Pelodiscus sinensis: one gene and its partner. The protein of the gene in region 2 purifies or fractionates together with the protein of the main gene of each other region. This does not show direct contact. Links are inferred from orthologs where the notes say so. Each region holds a gene or a part of one and is shown on either strand. Other genes may lie near its edges.

Region 1 (12,500 bases), on a different chromosome or scaffold from region 2:
TTACTCTTCTTTTTTTTAGACTTCTTTCTGTTTTACAAAGTTAAAGATGGAATAGTCAGACATTTATACACTAGCAGAGAAAAGGAAACAGTGCTAGAGGCCAGGCTTAACTGATCAATTATTCAAGCAGTGTCCAGCTGGAGGGTTCAATTGAATGATTTTCCCTTTTTCAGTATCTATTTGTTCAATAATTCACCAAAAATGCTTCTTTCCACAGATCATACAATTATCTTTATAGGTCTTGATTATTCTTTCAAGTTTGGACTGGGTTTTTTATTAGCCAGAATTCAGTTTGTCTGAGGTAGAATCATGTTGATTCTGAAGATAGCCTATTACAGGATATCCTTTTAACTACATGAGAAACAGAAGGGTTGGCTTTTCCTTACTCATTAGATAGGCAAATAATATCACAACCATGCTGCCCCCTAATGGAAGATACAGATTTTAAGACAGCAGTGTTTTGAATGCAATATTTTGGAGAATTGCTCTTACTTTCTATGTTTCTTTTTCTTCTTCTTGGTTTTCTTTTTCTCTTCCTCATCTAAAAAAAATGAACGTAAAATAACCAAAATCCCACAATAATAAAATGAAGTACCAAGCTTTATTGGAAATACAATCCTCTCTACAACAGCAGCTACAGTAAGAAGGAGAGAACTAAAGCCATGTACACTTAGCAACTCATCTGAGATAAGAGTAGGCATGCTATTGAATTCCTTGACTCACCATACACCAGAATGGCTTAATGGTTAGCTACTACTCCTGGGGGAATTCTGCACCACTGTGCATGTGCAAAATTCATCCCCCCTTCCCCCTAGAAAATATATTCTGCTTACTAATTGTTGCAGTTCTGCCTTTCACCCACAAGAGGCCACTGTGGCACCAGAACAGCCAGCAGCCTGCTGGGTTCATCATAGCATCCTACTCAGAGTCAGGTTTGGACGGATAAAGGGGGGGGGGGGGGCCTCTGGAGGGGTTACAGACTGAGGTTCAGAAGGGCTCGTGGAGGAGAGATACTGAAAGGGGCACAAGTTCAGGAGCTAGAGGAGTGACAGCACAAAGCCAGGGCTGATGGGAGCAAATGTGCCTGAATGAATGGGAGAGGTTTTGGGTCGGCTAGGGTCTGCCTGGGGAAGGTTCCCCAGCTTTTTAACAACCTCTCCCACCCAGCCAAAAATCCCCCCCAACAAAATTGTTTCTTGCTTTTCCCACCCACATTCAACAACCCTCCAGATTTACTCTCAGGCTCCTTCCTTGTCTCTCAGCTCTCTGTTATCCCAATGACACCAAGCCTTTGCACTGTTCTGAAGGGTAGGAGAAATACATTTTTGTAGTGTAGTTTAAAGGGATTATTCAATGTTCTGTATAAATATGTCTAGTAAGAAATCTATTTGTCTCTACTGTTACAGACATACTTGCTGACAAGTAATTTGAAATACAATTACCAAAATACTTGAAAATTGAGTGATTATATTATGTTTTGACAAATAAAATATGCACAATTTTAAAATACTGAGCACAGAAATCCCCCAGGAATAAGTTATATGTATTAGAGGGGACGGTCTCAATTCCAGGCTATTTATGGTTTCAAAACAATGGCAAAAATAATATTATTGAATGTACTGATATACTATCACCACCTGACCTGAAATGCCTGATGGATTAAATTCAGGATACCTTTCCCTGATGGCCAGATCCCACGCACAGAAGCAAGGCACACAGAAAAACTGAACAGTGAAAGAATTTAAAATACAGGATTATTCACTTATATGAGAATGGTTACAGAAGTGCAGCAGCAGATGCAGTTTGTTGCCTCTGGACTATAATGATGTGCTTTCACATCTTGAACAAAGTGGATTAGGGCTGAGAGACTTCATAGAAGATATGTTTTAAGGAGACATTTGAGTGGAGAGAGCGGTGATTTAGTGCACAAGAATACAGGCCATTCTAAAGGTAAGAGGTAGCCTGGAGATGAAAATAGGAAAATGGCACAAAGAGAAACTGGTCAACGTTAGACTTGGGATAGAGCAGAAAATGAGGGCCAAGCACAGGTACAAGTGGAATTACAAAAAGCTTCATTACAATTTATACAGCTATGGGGAGAAGAGAAAAATGTATCTTAGTATATAAGCTATAGTTAAGAGATTCATTTTTTCCCCTTAATGAGCAACTAATATACAAAATCCCAGAATGCCGCAAGGATGCAAACACAACAGATACAATATTCCACATGATTATAAAGAATGCATACAATAGAAAGTTTCAAATCATATATAGCTTAATAGAAGCCTTGCTTTCTTACCACTGGAGTTTAGTTCAGACTCAGATTCGCTGTCACTGTCCCCAGAATGCTTCCTGTGTTTTCTTTTAGACCTCTTTCTTTTCTTTTCCTTTTTTTTCTTCTTTTTTTTCTCTTCTGAAAAGATTTGAAAAGGGAACATTAACTTTCAAGATAAGTGTAGCCTGGCATGCCATTAATATTTTGGCTTTAGTATACTAGAACCCCTTTACATGGAATTTTATTATGCTAGTTTAACTAAGTCACTGAAGTTCTTTGTAAGTAAGGTGAACAGATTCTAACCCTGAATCTTCTATTAATGTGTAAACAACTTCTGAGGTCAAAACAAAATACCTTCTGAACTGGAATCTGAAGAGCTGCTCCTCTTAGATTTTGCTTCCTCATCTTCTGCTGGGGTATGCTCATCAGAACTGAACAGACACAAAAAGATATTTAAAATTATGAAACATCATTTGAAGTGGGGATTGTTTGTCCAAAAATCAAATACATGTATAGAGCTCTGCAAATGCAGATATCCACTTTATATCTGTGGGTATGCGCATCTGTGGATGTTGATATCCACAGCTCATTTTTTAAGATATGGATGCAGGTGAGGATATAATTTTTGTATATAGAACCCTGAATATTTGCAGATATCTACTTTATATCCAGGGGTATCCACATCCATGGATGTCAATGCAGATATTCTCAGCTCATTTTTGCAGATACAAAGGTGGATACAAATTTTGTATCCACACAGGGATCTACACATGTACAATTTTTGCAAATTCAGAGCCTGTGTTAGTAATCAAGGAAACGATTAAATAGCTAATATCTGAATCACTCTTCAAACCACAATACTAAGACAACATCATTTGATCTACAACATGCTGAAACCTTATGTAATTGATTTGTTGGCATTATACAAAATATGGTATCCAGATATGGCTGTTTAGTGATTTAACTTTGGAGACATGTAATATGAATTACAAAGAATAACAACAAGACATTTCTGTAAATATTAGTGTTGATATTAATTAAATGTTATCTTATATAAGCCTCCAAATTAGAGTGCCAGAAGGCAAAAAAATCCCATGAAAAATTGCTTACTCTGGGTCAGGAACCTTTGGTGACAGTCCCCAGACTTCAGGTGCTCCCAGTTCTCCAATCCTCTCTCTTTCATTCAGTCTCCTATAAAGATACATACCTGCATTAAAACCGAATGTGCTACCATCAAACAGGTATTCAAAACCTGAATAGTTTGTTTTTATCAGCATTTCTCGTCTCCATAATTAAATTTGCTGAAAGGATATTTTCTTCATGTTAGTATCTAAAATTTGCTTATTCTCTCCAAAAACAAGACACTTCAACACTAATTTTTCAGTTACTGGGGGGCCAGTATGTTTGAGACATTTTTAAGAAACACCTCTGCATGCTTCAGTTAACCCTCAGACTTTGTAGTCTGGTAAAACAGGATTTTTGGCCACATATGTAATGTTCCTGATAGTTTTTTCCATTACAAATTATGTATCTAAATATTTACCATGATGATTACATCCACTTCCTAAAACAAACAGGCAAAGGTACCTAGTCTGTGGCAGATAACTGCACAAAACATCTCTCCATGTGCCCTCGTCTAAAAAAATGGAAGACCTAATTTGTAGAGACAACACATTCTAATATGTGATGCTTTGCTTCTGATCGGAACAATCAGACTTGTCATCACTGTTGACTGTAATCAGGGATACTGGCAGTTTTTATATTGGGGGTGCTGAAAATCATCAAACCAAACTGTAAATCCTGTTATAACTGAAACCACTTCAAGCCAGAAGGAGCAATAGCACCCTCTGCACCCCTAATTTCAGCACCTAAAGCTGTACTATATGTAGGGCCCTATCAAATTCATAGACATGCAAAATGCATCGTCGACTGTGAAATCTGGAGTCCTCCCAATGAAATGTGGACTTGTGTGTGATTTTAGCCTATACTATACATGGGGAAACCAGTGTTTCTCACATTGGGTGTCCTGACCCAAAAGGGAGTTGCAGGGGGATCACAAGGTTATTTTAGGAGGGCCACGGTACTGCCATCCTTAGTTCTGTGCTGCCTTCAGCACTGGGCAACTATACAGCAGTAATTGTAATTTGAAAGGCAGCATCTTGCCAGCAGCAGTTCAGTGGCAATACAGTACTGCTGCTTTCAGCGATGGGCACCTGGAGAACGGCAGCTGCTAACTAAGGTCCCAGCTCTGCAGGCAGAAGTGCAGAAAGAAGGATAGCAGTACCATAACATACCATCCTTATTTCTGTGCTGCTGCTGGCAGTAGCAATGTCTTCCACGCTGGACTCCCAGCCACCACTTTCCAGATCCCCAGTTCTGAAGGCAGCACCACCACCATCTGCAGCACAAAAGTGCAGTAGTGCCACCCCCCGCCACTCAAACCTTGCAAACCCCATACAACTCCTTTGTAGATCAGGACCCCTGCAATTGCAACAGCATGAAGCTCCAGCTTTTAATATCCAAAATCATTATATTTACCATTTAAAAAATCCTATAATCATGACATTGACCCAAATGGACTATGAATTTGGTTGGGCCCTAACTATCTGGAAGATTGTCACTTTTGCAAGCTACCCATGATAACTTAACAAGTTGGGCCCTATCATACCTGTGGGGCTGCATCATTGCATTAACACAGATGTCTCCACACTATTTCATTTCATGTCCCTTTGAGGCTCTAATTTACATCCCTGCATAATTTCTTTAATAGACAAAGTTAGGGAAAACGGACCTAATTTTCCAAAAAAAATAAGGTAGAGCAAGGACTACTATGAGAAGGAGAATCTGGTAGCTAAGTGGTAAGGGGCATTTAAAAGAAGATTGGACAAGGCACGGAAAGGTACGTAACAGGGAACACGCCTGCACTGGGAAAAGGGGCGGGGCACACGCTGCAGCTCGGGTAGCCGGGGCGGGCGAAGGCAGCTCGGTTGGGGGGGGGGGAGACTCGCCTCTGCCGCAGGATCTCTTCCTTCTCCTTCTCATAGTAGTCCGGCCACTGCTTGCCGCCGCCGTGGTGATGGTGCCCGTGGTGAGCGGAGGAGGAGCGCGGCCCGCCCGGCGTGCGCTCCCGGGAGCGGGACCAGCTGCGGCTCCGCCGATGCTTCGAGCCGTTGCGCTCCCGGGACCGCGACCTCCTGCCCCGCTTCTCGGGGGACGCAGGCCGGTGGGGCCGGAGTGTTCTCGGGGGCGAGGGACTCGCCGAGGAGCTGCTGCCGCCCTTCCGCCGGGGGCCTGGAGATCCTGGAGGGCTTCGAGACCGGGACACAGGCGCCATCTCGGCCTCCCGGGCCGGGGGCAGGAGAGGTCTCCCGGGTTGCTACCGTAGCGCCAGCAGCGACCGCGGGGACTTCCGGGTGGCGCACTTCTGAACTATCCCGTGCAACACCACTTCCGGTTTCTGCGCCCTTTCCCCCCATATTAAGAAAGTGCTTCCGGGTACAACCACCCACATCCGTCCCCCGGGAAACAATTTCCGAGTGTTGCTACCAACCCCTTCCGGTACTCGTGCACAGAGCAATTGAACAACCGAGTGCAACAGGCTGAGTCGCCGCCCGGAAACGAGGCGGTGTCGCTTGGTTCCTACGGCAGGGTTCGTTGCGGGCGACCCCGTGCGAGCGGCCAGACGGCTTCGGGTTGTCGGAGTCCGGCGGGATGCAGGAGAACGGGGTCGAAGCGCCAGGTAAGGAGGGACCAAGAGGCGGGCGGGCACCCCGCCCCCATCTGACAGCGGGGCGGCCTGACCCTCACGCATGGTGCTGCCCCCCATGTGGGTGCAGGGGACGCAGCCTGCCCTGTGGCCGGGGGAGCCCAGCGCCCATGGCTCTGCTGGAGATGGGCTCCCCCCAAAGGTCCCGCGGGGCAGGCCTCAGCCTCCTGGAGTCGCCAGGCTGAGAAGAGAGAACAGGTGGCCCCACCCGGCGCAGTGGGGAGGGTGAAACTCGGCCCCCGGGAGCGGCCTGAGACCAGCATCTCCCCGACATAGGTCCCAGACCAGCCATCAGATGGAAGCAGCGTTTAGTCAATACTTAAGGCAGTCAAGCAACAGCAGCAGCGAGAGGCGCTGGATATCCCATCCCATCCCCAGCCCCTTCCATTGCTGTAGTGAGGTATCACTGAATAATTTAATCCGTGGCTCTACAAAGGTGCCATTAAACAAGAAGGACTCAGAATCCTGTGGGAGATGGAAGTGCCCAAGGAGAACAGGAGTAAACGACAGTCAAAATTTCTGTCCTCCTACTGTTTTGGCATTGTCATCAGCATCCTGTTCTGTGCAATCTGTGAGATGCAACCTAGTTGGTCACTGTGCTAACAGGGCAAGCTGCATACAATGCTTCAGTCAAAGTAAAAGTCAGTAGAAAAGACTTTCCCTCACTGACTCCATATTACACTTGATAACTACGGTGACCTGTACATGGGGATGAATATGCAAGTTCTGGAAAAGCCTCATGATGCAGCAGCCCATCTTACTGACCAGCATCAAAAGGCAAGAGTGCATTTTAATCTAGTGCCTTCAGGAACTACACAGACTAAGCTTTGAATGTCCGATAGACAGTTCAAAGTCACAGTGCTATTCTCCAAAGTTTCTCTTCAAATGGGATGTGTCCCAGCTGCCTGAATTAACATCTATGACTTTTTTCTGGAATGATGGAGCTGTCCACAACAGGAACAATGTTTAAAATAAGTGGAAACAGCACTTTTCCAGTGGACAGCTCATGGTTATGGAACTTCCTTCCCCCCAAAATTAGAATGACTGAATCTTCCTGCTTTCGTATTTCAATGCAAAATCCAACCTTTTGCCCTTAGTTTTTCCACAGCAGTTGACCCTTTGCCCCCACCAAACAACCATCAGCAATGAAGGAATAAACAAACATGCAAAACATACAAAAAGCCACTACGTTTTCATTAGTCCTTAGATTTTTTTATTTTAAAAGGTCACCTTAGAATCAAAATAAACAACACAGCAATAATCCAGAGAGTTATAAAAGTTACATAATAAAAGCAAACAGCCTTTTTTTTTTTTAAATGGGTGTCAATGGAGGAAATCTTTATCAAGGATGTTGTTTGTTTTTTTAAAAGCCCTCTTGTAGGTAACAGTCTTTCTTTTGCTTGGGGAAGTAATGTATAATATTGTCCTGACATCAAGTAAGCCTGCCATAAATATCCAAAGAATTATTTTATAATATTATCTCATACTGTCATGTCATCTTATGTAAGCCAAAATCAAATCGAATAGAAGGATATGTCTCAACGTTGTTTATAGTTGGACAGCTGTTTCAGTTACCAGATCTATAAGGTGTGGCATAAGCAGCAAAAAACCTGTTCAAATTATATATGGAAATTAGTAAATGTATAGCACTATGCATTTGGTAAATTGGTAAATGTATAGCACCAAAGAACTGCACTATGCATGGTATTCTTACATTATGTTTCTATCTATGCAGTGAGGCTGTGTCTAGACTACATGCCTCTGTCGTCAGAGGCATGTAGATTAGACACATAGGCAAAGGCAAATGAAGCCGTGATTTAAATGATCGCGGCTTCATTTACATTTACATGGCTGCCGCGCTGAGCCGACAAACAGCTGATCAGCTGTTTGTCCACTCAGCGCGCTAGTCTGGACGCTCCCCTGCCGACATCAAAGCCCTTTGTCGGCAGCCCCATTATTCCTCGTGGGATGAGGTTTACCGGGGCTGCCGACAAAGGGCTTTGATGTCGGCAGGGGAGCGTCCAGACTAGCGCGCTGAGCGGACAAACAGCTGATCAGCTGTTTGTCGGCTCAGCGCGGCAGCCATGTAAATGTAAATGAAGCTGCGATCATTTAAATCGCGGCTTCATTTGCCTTTGCCAAAACAACAAATCTACATGGCTCTGTCGATGGAGCCATGTAGTTTAGACGTACCCTTAGGTTGGGATATCTCTTCCATTGCCAGAAGTGCTGTGGGGATAATGACAATGAATATCAGGAGACTTCCCTTGTTTAATGCTTCTGAGTGATCTCTTTAAAGTGCTAGTAGACTATTGGTTGTTTTTTAAGTTTTTCATGTTACAGACTAACATGGCTACCCCTCTGAAGCCTATGTTCTAATAGAGTAGGAGGAGAGTAGTGAATTGAGTACAAGTCAGTGAGCCTGAGTTCTAATCCCAGCTCTGACACAATCTGTGGAACTAGACTAAATTGTGGCCAGAATTTTAACTGAGCTGAGCACCTTCAGCCTCCAGTGAAGTCAGACACTCAGGCTGTGTCTACATTGGCATGATCTTGCGCCAGAGCGGCCGCTTTTGCACACAAACATGCTGCCTGTCTACACTGGCGGGGAGTTCTTGCGCAAGAACACCGACATTCTAATGTGTGAAATCAGTGCTTCTTGCGCAAGAACTATGATGCTCCCACTCAGGAATAAGCCCTCTTGCGCAACTGTTCTTGCGCAAGAGGCCAGTGTAGACAGGCAACATTAATTTCTTGTGCAAGAAAGCCCGATGACTAAAATGGCCATCGGAGCTTTCTTGCGCAAGAGAGCATCTACACTGGCATGGATGCTTTTGCGCAAAAGCACATCTCTTGCGCAACAGCACATGCTAGTGTAGATGCTCTCTTGCGCAAATACTTTAACACAAAAACTCTTGTGTTAAAAGTATTTGCACAAAATCTTGCCAATGTAGACGTAGCCTTAGCTTTTAGTTGCACTGAAGACAGCTACTCATTACCTTGAAAACTAAGACCATGAATCTCTCCTTTAGTTTTTCTGTTGGTAAAATGGTGATTAACATATTCAACTATCCCTCAGTAGTCTTCTGTGGGTTAATTAGTAATTGTAAAGCTCTTTGAAGTATTTTATACATAGGTTACGTCTACACTGGCACCCTTTTCCGGAAATGCTTAAAACGGAACAGTTTTCCGTTATAAGTATTTCTGGAAAAACCGCATCTACATTGGCAGGATGCTTTTCCGGAAAAGCACTTTTTCCGGAAAAGCGTCCGTGGCCAATGCAGACGCGCTTTTCCGGAAAAAAGCCCCGATCGTCATTTTCGCGATAGGGGCTTTTTTGCGGAAAAGATTACTGTGCTGTTTACACTGGCCCTTTTCCGGAACAATTTTTCCAGAAAAGGACTTTTGCCCAAATGGGAGCAGCATAGTTTTTCCGGAAAAACACTGACAATTTTACAGTAGATTGTCATTGCTTTTCCGGAAAAGCAAGCGGCCAGTGTAGACAGCTGGCAAGTTATTCCGGAAAAGCAGTTGCTTTTCCGGAATAAGTGGCCCATTGATAGTGTTTATATAATTATTGCATTCTACATATAACAGCATGCTGCTACATGTGGCATATGATCCAACTCCAAGTAATGTTAAAAGAAAGTCTTCCACAGACTTTAGTGGGAGTTGAACTAGGTTTTATTACAATATTAAAAGCCAACCAATGCATAAAATACAAAACAAAGCAAAAAATAGAAATCAGATGGGAATTAGTGTTCTACTGTCCTTCTGGCATTAGTAGTGTTCCCAGCATCACAATATTGCTCTTTGTATAGATTATTTCTGTCCCTAGAGATAATCCAGTTAAAATGACTGTCAAATTTTCATTGGTACTGAAAATTGAACCTAGGTATTCAGTGAAGATATTTCTGTCTCATGACATGTTCATGAAAGCTTGGTTCTGTTATTTAGTCTCTAGCAAATTTTATTTATTCTTTTAAAATAAATTAAGTATAACTCTGTCATGACTGAAGACTTTTCCCTGTCTCACAGAAGTAAGTCTTTAAAAATGCTCTCTGTCCCTAAGTATTTCTACCATGAACATTTCCTTTTTCAAAAAAGAAAACTACTCTTAAGATGGTTTAAGTCAAAACTTCACATCTATTGCTCTTAGGGATGTTAAAATGGTTAAGTGGTTTAACTCAGAGTGGTTTAACTCAGAGCCTGGTCCCACTGCATCCTGCAGCATCCATTTAGTCACTTTTTAATTCCAACATCCATTTGTCACACCAAACTGAGAAAGCAAATTTCTGAATTGAACGCCCTCCACACAAAATGCTATAATCAAGCAGTGCCCAACCACCAGGCTGCAGCTCACTGTCAGGCCACAGACCTTTGGCTGCTGGGCTGCGGTGGCTCTGGGGCCCAAGGCTGGGATACACTGCTCTTGCCGTAGTTGTTGGGAGAGTCGTGTCCTGCCTCACCTCTCAGCCAACTAGTGAGGGGCAGGGGCAGAGTCTCCTCCCGGCCACAGAAGAATGCTTTCCTGCTCTGTGGGAAGGCTGCCTGGAGCCGCTCCATATGACCCTCCCACTGCACAGAGAAGAGCTTGTCCATGGCTGGAGGAGACCCTGCCCCTGCCCGGTGCTGGTTGGCTGAGAGGCGGGGCAGGACATGCCTTTCCCAACAGCTGCAGTGGGAGGGAAGGTGATGGGTGGTGTACCCAGACCTGGCCGTGATGCAGTCAGCAGTGCAGGCCTGGGTGAGGGGGTGGGGCTAATGCTGGGGAGCTCTGGAGGCTGAGCTAGTGGTGGGGGCAGGCTATAGAGGCAGGGATAGCACTGGGGTAAGGATGTTAAATTTAGATTAATCAACTAATCAAATAGTCAATGCAATTTGCATCAACTATTTGATTAGTTGATAAGGGCACCTCCACCTTTGAAATGTAGCAAGAGCCCTGCTGGCTCTTCCTATATTTCAAAGGCAGAAGTGCCACAGGAGCATGGGGTTAGTGGGGGACTCATGCACTTTATGCCTGACCAATCTGATTAGATGCTATGATAAGGTAACGGGCTCTGTGGACAAGGGAAAGTCAATGGATGTGACATATTTGACTTTAGAAAAGCTTTGGATATGATCTCCCACAATATTCTTATCAGCAAGTTAAGGAAGTATGGATTGGATAAATGGACTGTAAGGTGGATAGTAAGCTGGCTAGATTGTTGGGCCCAACGGGTAGTGATCAATGGATCAATAGCTGGTTGGCGGTCGGTTTCAAGTGGAGTGCCCCAAGGGTCGGTTCCAAGGCCAGTTTTGTTCGACATCTTTATTACTGACCTGGATGAGGGGATGGATTGCACCCTCAGCAAGTTTGTGGATGACACTAAGCTAGGGGGAGAGGTAGATATGTTGCAGGGCAGGGATAGGGTCCAGAGTAACCTATACAGATTAGAGGATTGGGCCAAAAGAAAGCTGTTGAGGTTCAACAAGGACAAGTGCAGAGTCCTGCACTTGGGACGGCAGAATCCCAAGCATTCTTACAGGCTGGGGACCAATTGGTTATGTAGCAGTTCAGCAGAAAAGTTTTTCACCCTCCTCCTTGAACAGTCTTCCATGTATTTGAAAACTGTTTGTCATGTTTTGTGGACCTTTAATAATTTTTGTTACCCTCCTTTAGACTTTCTCTAGTTTGTCCATATCTTTCCTGAAATGTGGCACCCAGGACTGTGCACAATACTTCAACTGAGGCCTTGTCAGAATAGAGAGGAAGACACTTGTTGTGTCTTCAGTATTCTAACACTGCAACTGAGGTTTTAAACCATGTTAGTTCAAGCCCCCCGCAGGATTAGCTCACCTCAAAAATCACCAATTCTTCAAAGGTTGTTTACAGTTTATAGTGCCTAAATAATGTTAATTGAGAGCACCTAATTAACTATTGCACTTCATCTCTTGTCATTCCCACATTGCAAAGCAGGTATGGTGGAATTTTTACACCTACTTTGGCTGCTGTAACTGAATATGCAAGGTACACTGCAGTGGTGAATCAAATCACTTAGCCCTATGCATTGTTCTGATCAGCCAAGACAACATGTTTCTTCATGGCACAAAGGCATCTCCAGGTTGTTAAACCTTTCCATTTAAAAATGGTTTGCAAAGGGGAAAATGCTGAGCCAATGGCTCCTTTTGCTTCTTTATAATGTTTAAAGACCTAGGGTTATTTAAAAGAAAATCAGCTTTCTGGATTTTTACTTTCACATGTTCTATCTAGATAAAAGACTGATTGATTGAGGAATTAGTAATGGCAATGTGACAAGAGATTACAGAGTGAAAGTTGAGCTAAGGGAAATAGATTTTTATCAGACTGTTTAACACTACTTTGTTGATAAAACCTATTTAAATGACTGACATTTTCAGGAGAGTGTGCCTTTGTTAAAGATACACTTTTTATATACTGTATGTCCATTAATATGCTGA
Region 2 (12,384 bases):
CTGATTGACAGATTGATTCATCACCTTTTCCTTATGTAATGCCAGACTCGGTCCATCGGAAGTAGGGACTGAACCTGGGGCATTATGGGTTAAAGCCATAAGCCTCTATCACATTAGTTAAAAGACAACTGGCTCTTCATTAAGCAGCCTGTGATCGGGAGCACATTTTTGTGGCCCATAATTTAAAATAAAATGCTCCTCTCTCATGCAGCGAACGGAGCATGGGCATAAGTGACAACCTGAGGTCTGGCCAGGCGACCAACTCAAGACTTCAAAATGATCAGCTGGTGTAGTTCAGTAAGTGATACAAACACTGTTGAATGTTTAGAATCATAGAATCCCAGGGCTGGAAGAGACCTCAGGAGTCACCGAGTCCTGCCCCCTGCCCAAAGCAGGACCAACCCCAACTCAATCATCCCAGCCAGAGCTTTGTCAAACAGACTTAAAAACCTCTAGGGATGGAGAGTCCACCCCCTCCCTAGGGAACCCATCCCAGTACTTCCCCACTCTCCCAGGGAAATAGTTTTTCCTCATATCCAACCTAGACCTCCCTCACTGTAACTTGAGACCACTGCTCCTTTTTCTGCCATCCGTCACCACTGAGAACAGCCTCACTCAATCCTCTTTGGAACCCTCCTTCAGGAAGTTGAAGTCTTTATACACAAGACATTTGAAAAGAACACGTGGAGAAAATGGAGTAGAAACCAATGAGTGGAATAAATACAGAACTATAACTTGCCAATTTTGAGTATTATAATACGGTATTTTCAAGGGATTCAAGTTGGTGCTATAAACTAACGCTTAAACACTCTGTCCCCCATCATCATTTGATCTGTATTCAACATCCATCACATTCTTCCATACCTTCATGCTCAGGCTGGTTTTGGACCCAGTGAATGACAGCACTTTGACCTTTACTCTTTGTCCTTTGCTCACAACATCAGCAACATTAGCAACACGTCCCTCTCTGCGAAGTTCAGAAATATGAACCAAGCCTTCCCAGCGTTTCCTGTGGGTCACACATGGACAGAAGGGCATGAGATGCTGTACAATACGGTGGGAGACAGCTCGTCACATATCATTTCAACACTTACAGGTCTTAAAATGTTTTAACGCTGAGAGGTTCTTGCATGATTATAAACTGTCCCTGGAAATTATAAACTGAGATGCGGCATGTAAGAGGTTAACCGGTGGCCCAGACAGGCTGGAGCAGTTCCCCTTCCCCCACCGATGCAGGTGCAGGTGGGGCCACTCCAGCCCAGCCGGGCTCACCGCAGGATCCCAGTTAACCTATTAAACTGAACGTTCAACCAGTTAATTTTTTAAAATGGTACTTTACATCCCTACTGGAAAGAGAAACGTTCTTTACTGACCACTTTACTTTTTTGAAACAGAAAATTCACCACGGTTGTGAAATTCAGTGTGTACCACTGGCATACGTGGCTGAGCCTAATAAGGCATCATACTTTTTTTCTTAAGTCACACTAATGACAGAAATTGATGACAATATTTATAATACTCAAAGGCAGGGTGATGGTACCAAAAAGTGGTAATGACTTCTTGTGACGGTCAGATGAGTACCTTAGTCCTTCCAGCTGCACAAAGCACCCAAACTGCATTATACTAGTGACTTTGCCATTGTAAATTTCTCCAATTGAAGGCTCTTCAGGTGGAGGCCGATCCACATGCTTGTCCCTCCATCTATCATTGCTCTTCTCTGTGTATTTCTCTCGATCCTTACGGTCCCTGCTGGGACTCGGACTCCTGCTCCTTGAGCGGTATCTGGATTTCCCCTTGTTCTTATCCCGAGTCCTAGAACGGGACCTGGAACGGGATCGGTGCCTCCGTTTCCTGTCTCTGTCTCTACTGCGACTGCGGCTCCTCCTCTTTTTTTTTGTCCTGACAAACATCAACAATCTGCATTAAATTTTCATGCAAGAGCAGGTCACACAGACACTATACTTCCTAGCTAGTCATGGCCCAGAGATGCACTGGAAACTTACCGGTGATCAGTATTCCTTTGTTTTGCCTTCCCACCGGCAGTAGGCATTAAAGCTTCAAGTTCTTTAAGAGCATCAGCAGCTACTTTCACATCATCTTCATCCAGCATAGTCTGTAGACACAGAGAATATCTCTGTAAGCAAACTGATTAAAAACCTACCAACCTCACATCTATTTCTGGAAAGGAGGAGAAAAGATCACAGAGAAATATACTGTAAAGAAGCTAAAATATGGGGATGATTACACCATGAAACTTAAAGGCACATGGCTCTAACAGTTCTGCCTCTATGTAAGACTTTGGAGACTTTTTTAAATTGTTACTAAAATCTTCATATGCATGTGACCCGTAGGCAACTTGGGTAGCCTAGTATGCTAATAATTTTTTCAACCTCACCTTCAAGCCTCTGCACAATTCTACCTTTTCCTTTTGCCTCTTCTATGCCTCTTACTTTCTGCACTTTTCTGAATCCTCCTTTCTATCATCCTCATTTTCTTGCTCTTTGTACCTTCCGCCATGCAATCCCTTTCAAGCCTAGGTGTCAAACATGCTCCTTCAAAACCACTCCTTAACCAAAGTCACCTTCCATGGTCTCAGTGATGCCAGGCAGTTTTGCACCTGAACCATTATCCCACTTATTATATTGTCTGCGTTAGAATGTAAATTTGTCAGGGTAGGATGGAGGTTCCACAAAGCAGTGTTGGCTCTGAGAGAGCTATATTAACAATAATCCCCTGCAACTAACCTCCAGCAATCTTCAGCTAACTACTGACCTCCCATGACATTCTGCATTTTCATTTCTCAGGCCCCATCACATTTTGTGCATTAGAAGCACAATACAGATGATCAGGGCTCAACAATTAGTGTAATCTACTGAGTAGATTACAGCCGGCACAGCTGCTCAGCGTGCCGAATTGCGCGGCTGGCAAGCGGGACTCGCCGCCGCCTGGCGAGCCCTGCAGATGATCATGTTAATGTAGCAACTGCAAACCAAGAGTGAAAAAATAGAGAGCAAGCATGATACTTCCATGCACTGATTTTTAACGTGTGAAACGTCATCCTTACCCTGATAGTGGGATTGTCTGGTCTGCAAAGGGCTGGGAACAGGTCCTTCAGCTTTTCCTTTTCTGTTTTGGGTTTGACAACTGCCTCTGCTTTTAGAACAAAAAAGCGTTTAAAAAAAAAAAACCACATTAGAAATGCACCTTTATCACATGGCTACAATAATTTGTCACTGTCATTTCTTAAACCGAATACTGTAGTCATTTAAGCTCTGAATGTAAATTTTACGGTAGCTTTTAAAAATTAAAAAGCTGGGACTTTTCAGCTTGTAAAAGTTGACTAAGGGGGGATATGATACAGGTCTATAAAATGATGACTGGGGTGGAGAAAGTAAATAAGGAAGTGTTACTTACTCTTTTTCATAACACAAGAGCAGGGGTCACCAAATTAAATTAATATACAGCCGGTTTAAACAAACAAAGGAAGTATTTTTTTCATACAATGCACAGTCAACCCGTGGAACTCCTCGTCAGATGATGTTGTGAAGGTCAAGATAATAACAGGGTTCAAAAAAGAACTAGGTAAGTTCATATAAGGTATGTCCATCAACGGCTATTAGGCAGGATGGGAAGGAATGACATCCCTAGGTTCTGCTCACTTGATGATTACCTGTTCTGTTCATTCCCTCTGGGCCACCTGGGATTGAACACTGTTGGGAGACAGGACACTGGGCTAGATGGGCCTTTGGTCTGACCCAGTATGACAGTTCTTACCTTCTTAAGAATAACATTTCCCTTCACCAAAAAAATGCTGGTTAAGTAAGATAGTGAAATATAAAATACTCTAAATTCTGCACCGAGTAAAGCTCTTTCCTTGAGCAGCCCAAAACCTTTGCCACAGTGATTCCTGCAATACAGGGAACTCCACTGGAATAACAGCATATAAGAATAGCTATTTCTCTGTCACACATAATATTCAACAGTTGCTGAAAGGATTGGGACGGCTTTCTGTTGAGCTGTTGGAGCAGTGAGTATTTACTTACCTTTGCCTGTAGATGGCTTTCCTGGAGGCCGCATAGTCTGTATGAGACGTAACAAATTACTAATGAGGGAGTCCTGAAAAATTCAATAAAGCACAGAAGATATTTTTAAGTGATTGCAATACTTTTGCACATTAGTACAAGGTAGGGTTTGTTAGCAGGGAACAAAAAGCTCAATTCCAACTTCTAAAAGCATCTAGAAGCATAGAGCTGCAGTCACAAGAATTTACATGTATACCATAAAAGTTCAGCTGCTTGGTGCAGACTCTACAGCGTTATGAAAATTGCATGTAAGTGACTCTCCACACTAGTCACTAATTCTAGCCATGACATGTTTAAAAGTCTGAGGAGTAGCCATGTTAGTCTGTAACTTTAAAAACAATGAGTAGTCCTGTGGCACCTGAAAGACTAACAAATATATATAGTATCATGAGCTTTTGTGGGCAAAACACACTTCTTCAGATGAGCTGAGCTCCATTCAAGCTCATCTGAAGAAACATGTTTTGCCCACGAAAGGTCATGATACTATATTTTATACATATATACATATATATACACGTGTGTGTGTGTGTGTGTGTATATATATATATTTTGTTAAGTCTCTAAGGCAGGACTACTCAATTTTAGAAGCCCCAGGGGCCACAATGATACTGACAACACATACCAAGGGCCACAACATAAGTGTGTTTGCATAAACATGCAAATATATATGCAAATAGCTTCTTTCACACGGTCGAGCATGAATACAAAGCACTTCCCACAATGCCCTGGCACTCCCAGCACCTCCTCCCTGGGGTCTAGAAATGCCAATACCCTGTACCCGTCTGTTCAAGCCACCCCGTCCACTTGTGTCTTTCAATGCTCACCCCGCCTGGGAGACACCTCGCTGTTGTGGAGCGTGTTCCCAGTGGAGCCCATATTCAAAGGATCCTACTCACAGGCCACATGTTGAGTCCCATGTAGACCCAAACCACGTTGCAGTACGCAAACAAACAGGCCACGGGCCGCGTATTGAGCAGCCCTGCTCTAAGGTGCCATAGAACTACTCATTGTTTCTAACCATGACAATCACTCTGATCTGTTTGTAAGGTACTTATTAGCTTGGTGTATGAGCACCATAAAAAGTTTGTTTTCACGACAAGCTATTTTTCTTGCACTTCACATGCGCAGTAATAAGACATAAATAGCCCAAATGAGTCTTCAAAATTGTATCATTCTTAATTATACAAAAGTGTTTGGAAGCCAGCATACATGAATTAAGTGAAAATAACTGCACAACAACACACACACACTTAATCCTTGCAACTCTCTTTTAAATAAACAATTTTTGTGTTTGCATCTCACTTACTGTGAACTCGGCGCCATTCTTTGTAAGGGCAGCCTTGAATATGTCAAATGTGGTGTTCTTCTCGGCGAGATTTATCACAAATTCAGCTGCAAACAAAGTGATGAGAGTGAAATAAATAAAAACTGGAAGTCAGGCCACATGCATTTCACTCTAATGAAAGGGGCTGGCATGGCAACCTTTGAACCTGAAGTCCCTCATCCAGTCACAGAACCTGGAGTAATGCACGGGCTGCAGCAGTGCCAGTTTTTCTTTCTACACTGTCTCAGGTCCACCTGCTCAAAACCAGGGTTGGAGGGATTGCAAATGGCTCTGGCTGAGAAGAGAGCTCATATGCTCACTCCAGACCCTCAACTCTTTGGGGGCCAGAGCTGTCTTTTTAACTACATTTGTTCAACACTCAGCACAACCACCCTAGCTCAAAAATACCACCAGGCCAATTCCTTGTTTAATTAATACATATTTACTAGGGATGCAAGAGTTTAACTCGTTAACTGATAAGCTGATGCTTCTCGGTTACCGTTAGCGGTTAACCGTGGGGCCTGCAGCCCATGCAGAGTTTAACCAGATAACGGACAGAATTTTGATCAGTTACACCAGGGGTTCTCAAACTTGTGATACCGCGACCCCCCTCTCAGTTGCTCACGACCCCTCTTTCCATTGCTGCAACCACCCTCTCAAGTTGCTCGCGACCCCGCGGGGGGTCAGGACCCACCGTTTGAGAGAAACTGAGTTACATGGTTAACGTGTTTTATTGTTTGTTAACATCCCTAATGTTTACACATTTACTTTCTTACCGCAGACACCCTTGGCACCAGGAGGCGCTGGCTCAAACTGCAACTCTGCCGCTGAGACACAGCTGGGTACAGCCCCGAATGGGGGGGGGTGTCCCCTGGTTCCTGCACCCCCCATCAAGCTGCTCTCGGGGGGGGGGCTCAGCCCCTTCCGGGGGCGCCTGTAGACCCCGTCCAGACCCCGCCGGGGGGGTCCCCTGGCTCCTGCACCCCCCCATCAAGCTGCTCTCGGGGGGGGGCTCAGCCCCTTCCGGGGGCGCCTGTAGACCCCGTCCAGACCCCCCCCCAACACGAGCCCCGGCGGCCCCCCCGCGACCCGCCCCCCGCTCTGGACCGAGCCCCCCCCGCGGCTCCTCACCCAGGTCCTTGTCGTTGATGCCCAGGTGATTGTCCAGCTCGGTGCAGACCTTGGACACCAGCGACAGGTACTCGAGCTTCGCGAGCTCCTCGGCCACCGCCGGCTCCCCCATCGTCGCGCCCCCGGCCTCGCGCCCCCGGAGCGGATCCACTTCCGGGTCACGCCGCGCGACGGGGGAGGCACGCACAGGGCGCTGGCCAGAGAGACGGCGGCGCCGGCTAGAGCGGCTCAGACTGGAGCCGGGCAGGGAGGCGGCGCCTCCCACTCTATGGTGCAGGGGCGGCTCTTTCCTGAGCCCGGCCGGCCGGCGGGGGGCGGGGCCTGAAAGCCTCGAACACAGGGTCGCCCTGAGCGCTGGGGGGATACCCCCGTGTCAGGGGATCCCCCCTGTGTCAGAGAGGGGATACCCCCTGTGTCAGAGAGGGGATACCCCCTGTGTCAGGGGATACCCCCTATGTCAGAGAGGGGATACCCCTGTGTCAGGGGATACCCCCTATGTCAGAGAGGGGATACCCCTGTGTCAGGGGATACCTCCCATGTCAGAGAGGGGATACCCCCTGTGTCAGAGAGGGGATACCCCCTGTGTGAGGGGATACCCCCTATGTCAGAGAGGGGATACCCCTGTGTCAGGGGATACCCCCTATGTCAGAGAGGGGATACCCCCTGTGTCAGGGGATACCCCCTATGTCAGAGAGGGGATACCCCGTGTCAGAGAGGGGATACCCCTGTGTCAGGGGATACCTCCCATGTCAGAGAGGGGATCTTCCCCCCCCCGTCAGTGAGGGGATACCCCTGTGTCAGAGAGGGGCTCCCCCTATGTCAGAGAGGAGATACCCCTGTCAGAGGGAATACCCCCGTCAGAGAGGGGATACCTTCCATGGCAGAGAGGGGATACCCCCTGTGTCAGAGAGGGGATACCCCCTATGTCAGAGAGGGGATACCCCTGTGTCAGGGGATACCTCCCATGTCAGAGAGGGGATCTTCCCCCCCCCCGTCAGTGAGGGGATACCCCTGTGTCAGAGAGGGGCTCCCCCTATGTCAAAGAGGGGCTTCCCCTGTCAGTGAGTAGAATACCCATGTTAGAGAGAAGATCCCTCCCCTGTCAGAGAGGAGATACCCCCTGTCAGTGAGGGGATGCTGACCATGTCAGAGAGAGGATCCCTCCTGTATCAATGAGGAGATCCCTGCGTCAGTGAGGGGATCCCTCCCACCTGTGGCCGTGGTGGGGAATCCCCTCGCTGTGTTTGTAGGGGGGGAGATTCCACCCCATCCATAAAGAAACTCCCCCTCCCGCCCAGCGTCACAGCATTCCATGCCGATGTTCCACGGGGGCTTCTCCCCAGGCAATGTGCCTCCCCCTCTGCCTCCCCCCGGCAGAGGCTGGGTTCACAGACAAAGAACATTCATGCCAAGGGAAGGGGATCACCAGCTCCGGGGACCTTGCAGCGTTTCCAGGCTGGATCCATAACCAGAGCCTGAATGGCCACAAAGTAGAGTCTGCAGGAAACCATCAAGCACAATGAAACCCCTGTAACAGACCATGCATTGTAGGGTGAAAACAAACATGGAGCCAGGCTCTCCTCACCACACGCACCAGTGACCTGCCTGTTCCCCAGAGAGGAGCTAAACCATCAGGATTAAAATGACTACTGGCTGGTGGTCACCTGGTTACATCATTGCCCACAAGAGGTCTCCATCCATTTTGCCTGCCTGCTGCAAATCAAAGGCTTGGCAGGTCATCCTGCGATCTGTACCTGCAAAGACACATTGATTTTTGAAGTCTTAGAAGACGTGAATCAGACAGAGAAAGGCAACAGCCAAATTCCCCTGGCTCCCAGCCTTGTACCTCAGGAAGACTTTTTCTTCTGCAATGCAAGTTTATTAACTGGTTCATCATTTCATCAGTGGCACCGGCTTTTGTAAACCTGAGCAGACTTACCAAACACTTTAGGCAAACTCGCTGGTAAGGATAGTAAAACAAGTGTATTGATAACAAAAGATAGATTTGAAGTGATTATAAGCAATAAGCAAAAACTCAGAGTGGCTACCAAAAGAAAAAAATAAGCATGCAGGCTAAATCTTAACTCTTATCACAATACACGGTATTTAGATCAAGCAATGTTTTCCAGGGATGTCCTGGGGATTCATGGGGCTCTACACAGGACTATTAAACTGGTACTAGGGGTGGCCCGTGACTATAGGCAGACTTGGCCACCGCCTAGGGTGCCACCTTCAACGGGGCACCCAGAGCGCCCGATGATGACGTCAGTCCATTGATGGCCCTGCAGGCGGGAGCACCGATCACGCGTTCCGCCTGGGGCACCAACTGCTGCAGCCCACCTCAGGCTGTTCCTGACGGGTGCCCCTATGCCCAATGGCAGCCCGGGATGGGGATGATGGTTTTTTAGAGCTGTGATTTTATCATCTTCAGCAACACACTCTTGAAATCTTTTAAAGCAAATTTTAAACTAAGGTCCTGTTGACTAACACAGTAAATTCAGAAACTGACAGTCTATACCAGGGTTTGGGAAATGCCTGTTAAATGGCTTCATTACCACTTCAGTGGCTTTTTCACAGGTTCAGTATTCTGCATGGGTGGTGAATGAAGGCCCAGCTGGGGGAGGCAAACTGAAGGGGTGAGGAACCTCAGACACGGGGGCCGGATGCAGCTCCTGACTTGCCTGGATCTGGCCCCCAAGGCTTACAGCTCCCCCCACAGCATTGGGGAGCCTGCACCTACTGCGGGACTGGACTACACATCAGCCCTTGACTCCAAAAAGGTTCCTTGCCCCTGTTCTAATTCCTGTTTCTAGTGTGCACCACCCATCTTTTTCAATTCACTTTCTGTGTTGAGAGGACAGGGATTTACATCAGATGTCATACTCAGAACAAATTTGCCAGTTTTCTTCAGTTCTTATAATTCTCAATGGGCAAAATGTCTGAAAAATTTTTGGATTTCAAGTTCACTGTATGGATGCCCTGGGTCCTGTCATTTGTGAGTGACATTTTTTAAGCCAAGAGAGAGAGATGTTTGATTTGGCCAGGAGATGGCAGTAAAGCACCTTGTCTATGGTTTTAAAAGCTAGGATTTCCAGAAGGCGCCCAGACATTTTGGGTGTGTCTACACTGCACTCTTATCTCAAAATAAGCTATGCAATTTGAGTGACACAAATTGCACAGCTTATTTCAAGTAAATTTCTAAATAGAGTGCTATTCTGAAACGTCCTTTAATCCTCGTGGAAGGAGGTTCATAGGGATGTCGAAATAGCAAGCCCGTTATATTTTGAAATAATGGGCTTGCTCAAAAGATGTGGAATAGCTATTCTGGGATCTTCTGGGATCCCAAAATAGCTTCACAGTGCAGACATAGCCTTTGAGAGGTAAACATAGGATTTGCCACACCAGATAAAAGTATCGCTCTATGTAATTCAGTATCCTGCCCAATAGGGCTATGTTTACACTGCAGCGCTATTTTGGGATACCAGAGTATCCCAAAATAGCTATTCCATGTCTTCACAGCAAGCCTGTTATTTGGAAATATCACGGGCTCGCTATTCTGATGTCCTTGTAAACTACATTCCATGAGGAGTAAGGGACGTTTCAGAATAGCGGGTGATTTCAAAATTTGGCGCTGTGTAGACAGTGCCAAATTACAAAATAAACTATTTTTAAATAAGATCGAAATAAGCTATGCAATTTGCATAGCTCAAATTGCATGTCTTATTTTGAGCTACGGGTGAACTGTAGACGCATCCTAGCAGTGCCTTATGTTTCACAGAAAAGTGAAAATTCTGTGGCTCGCACTTAGCCCAAAGCTGCAGGGGGTAGCCGAGTTAGTCTGCTACAGAAAAAAACAACAAATGCTCTGGTAGCACTTTATAGACTAACAAAACATATAGATGGGATCATGAGCGTTCGTGGGCACAGCCCACTTCTTCAGATGACCAGAGTTACTTAGCCCAAAGTAAGTTAGGGTACGTCTACACTTGCTCTCTAGTTCAAGCTAGGGATGCAAATGTAGCCGACCGAAATTGCTAATGAAGCGGGGATTTAAATATCCCGTGCTTCATTAGCATAATCTCACCCGTGCGTTATTCCGCTCGCCAGCTGATTCGAACCAGGAAGTGCGTTCCGGGATGCGTTAGTTCGAATCAAACCCCTTGAGTCGAACTAACGTTACTCCTCAAAAAATGATACCCAAAATAGCTCCGTGTAGACGTAGCCTTAGTGTGTCAGTCCTGCTGTATCACCACGGACTCCTATACATTCCCTCCTACTTCCTCAAAGTCTGCCTTGTCCATGGTCACTGTGTTGGGCTGCAGATGTAGGAAAGGGAGAGAGAAAAGCAGCACAAGTCTGGAGATGGGGGGTCTAAGGAATGTTGATGTGATGGGAAGCATGGGGATCTGAGAAGTAGCGGACAGAGGAATTTTTTCCCTCTAATATCCAGATTATTATTTGTATCACAGTAAAAAGACCTGTCAAGGAGCTATTCTGCTAGACTAGTGCCAGGCGCTGTCGAGACAAATAACAAAGGAAGTCGTCTCTTACTCCAGAGAATGTACAGCCCAGGTGTGAGACGAGACAGCCAAGCAGGCTGTCCAGGGGCGAGGCAACACGATGAAGAGCAAAGCAGAAACATGGGCATGACTATTCAAATCTCCAGCTGATTAATATCCAATCCAGGAGCTGATTGCAGCAAAGCAGCATCTTTCTGGGCACTGTCTCATCCGGGAGGAGGTGACAGCAAAGGAAAGGCTGGGAGAGAAATGAAAGTGGGTTATAATGCTAGTCCAAAGTCTTGCATTTTCAGCCCCACAGAGCAATCGTTTCTCCTTTAAAAACAGGGGAGGTGGGTGAAGGTTGGACTGGGGGAGGCAAAACCCCTAACACTTCCCCCAACCCCACCCCTTCTGCCCAGCCCTCGCCTCCTGCACCATGGGGAGGGCAGGTAGCATGCAGCCCCAGGCTTCCAGGCCCCTGAGCACTGGGGAGGGTGAGTGGCACACAGCCCCAGGTTCCCCAGCCCTGGAGCACTCCGGGGCAACAGTAGGCATTCTGGGGGCAGAGTGTGGGCGGGGCCATGCCTGGCGGTTTGGGAAGGCAATGCCTCCCCCCGCCTATGATACCTGCCACCCCAGCTTTGCAGAAATTCTTGGAGACGGTGTTGTGTGTCTCTGGTTGTGCTATCCAAGTCACGCCTGTGAACCCTGAAGCCACCAACCTGCACATGAACCAGCATCTGACACAATGATCATGAACAGAGCCCCGGAGAGAAGCCAGCGTTGTTCGGCTAGCAGCCAAGTACCCTTCACTAATGCAATACTTCAAACAAGGATTTGCTGGAATGGTGAATTCCCCCGGAGTCTTGTGATGTACACGCCGTGATCTACGGACAGCGCCTGGCATTTCTGTGGGCACGCCCTTCTCGCTAATGTTCACGAAATGTCTCTGGCTTTGTGCTTTCCCCTAAGAGGAGGCCACCCATTAACAAAACTATGCAAAGCCACCAGTTCTCCATCATTTCCATTAGCCACTTTCAGAGAATCTTCACTGGACAGAAGTAATCCACCATCCCTAGGGTTGGGGGTGCAATAAATCCAATTTCTGCCACATCTAGGACCCCCCCAACCCTGCTCCGTCCTCCTAAGCTGGAGGGCGCGTCAAGAAGAGCCACAGAAATGACCTTTGGTTGAAGGGACTGATGTCTGAGGTAAGGCTAAAAGAGCTCAGGATTAAAACCCGGCCGAGAGATGACAGTGCGGGTTCCTAAGCTTCTCTGCACGGATCTGAAGGATGTAAAAGCCAAGACGAGGAGCAATGGTTGTAGGCTGCACACGGGCGTAC

What was found.
Region 1: the proteins of DHX8 (region 2) and NKAP purify together in Homo sapiens (co-immunoprecipitation; 3 studies listed by BioGRID and IntAct, with this or other methods). This does not show direct contact. The link is inferred for Pelodiscus sinensis from reciprocal best matches to the Homo sapiens genes DHX8 and NKAP.

What each region holds. Positions count from the first base shown.
Region 1 is NC_134723.1:33,980,990-33,993,489, reverse strand, and holds the start of NKAP (NF-kappa-B-activating protein), read right to left. Parts: upstream 5,738-12,500; 5' UTR 5,610-5,737; coding exon 5,284-5,609; intron 3,467-5,283; coding exon 3,386-3,466; intron 2,707-3,385; coding exon 2,630-2,706; intron 2,414-2,629; coding exon 2,300-2,413; intron 542-2,299; coding exon 493-541; intron 28-492; coding exon 1-27. Other genes in the region: ZBTB33 (transcriptional regulator Kaiso), read left to right, coding at 5,987-6,014. UniProt on the Homo sapiens protein: Acts as a transcriptional repressor. Plays a role as a transcriptional corepressor of the Notch-mediated signaling required for T-cell development. Also involved in the TNF and IL-1 induced NF-kappa-B activation.
Region 2 is NC_134739.1:7,991,569-8,003,952, forward strand, and holds the start of DHX8 (ATP-dependent RNA helicase DHX8), read right to left. Parts: upstream 6,711-12,384; 5' UTR 6,650-6,710; coding exon 6,538-6,649; intron 5,475-6,537; coding exon 5,389-5,474; intron 4,117-5,388; coding exon 4,044-4,116; intron 3,154-4,043; coding exon 3,065-3,153; intron 2,114-3,064; coding exon 2,004-2,113; intron 1,900-2,003; coding exon 1,582-1,899; intron 1,010-1,581; coding exon 865-1,009; intron 1-864.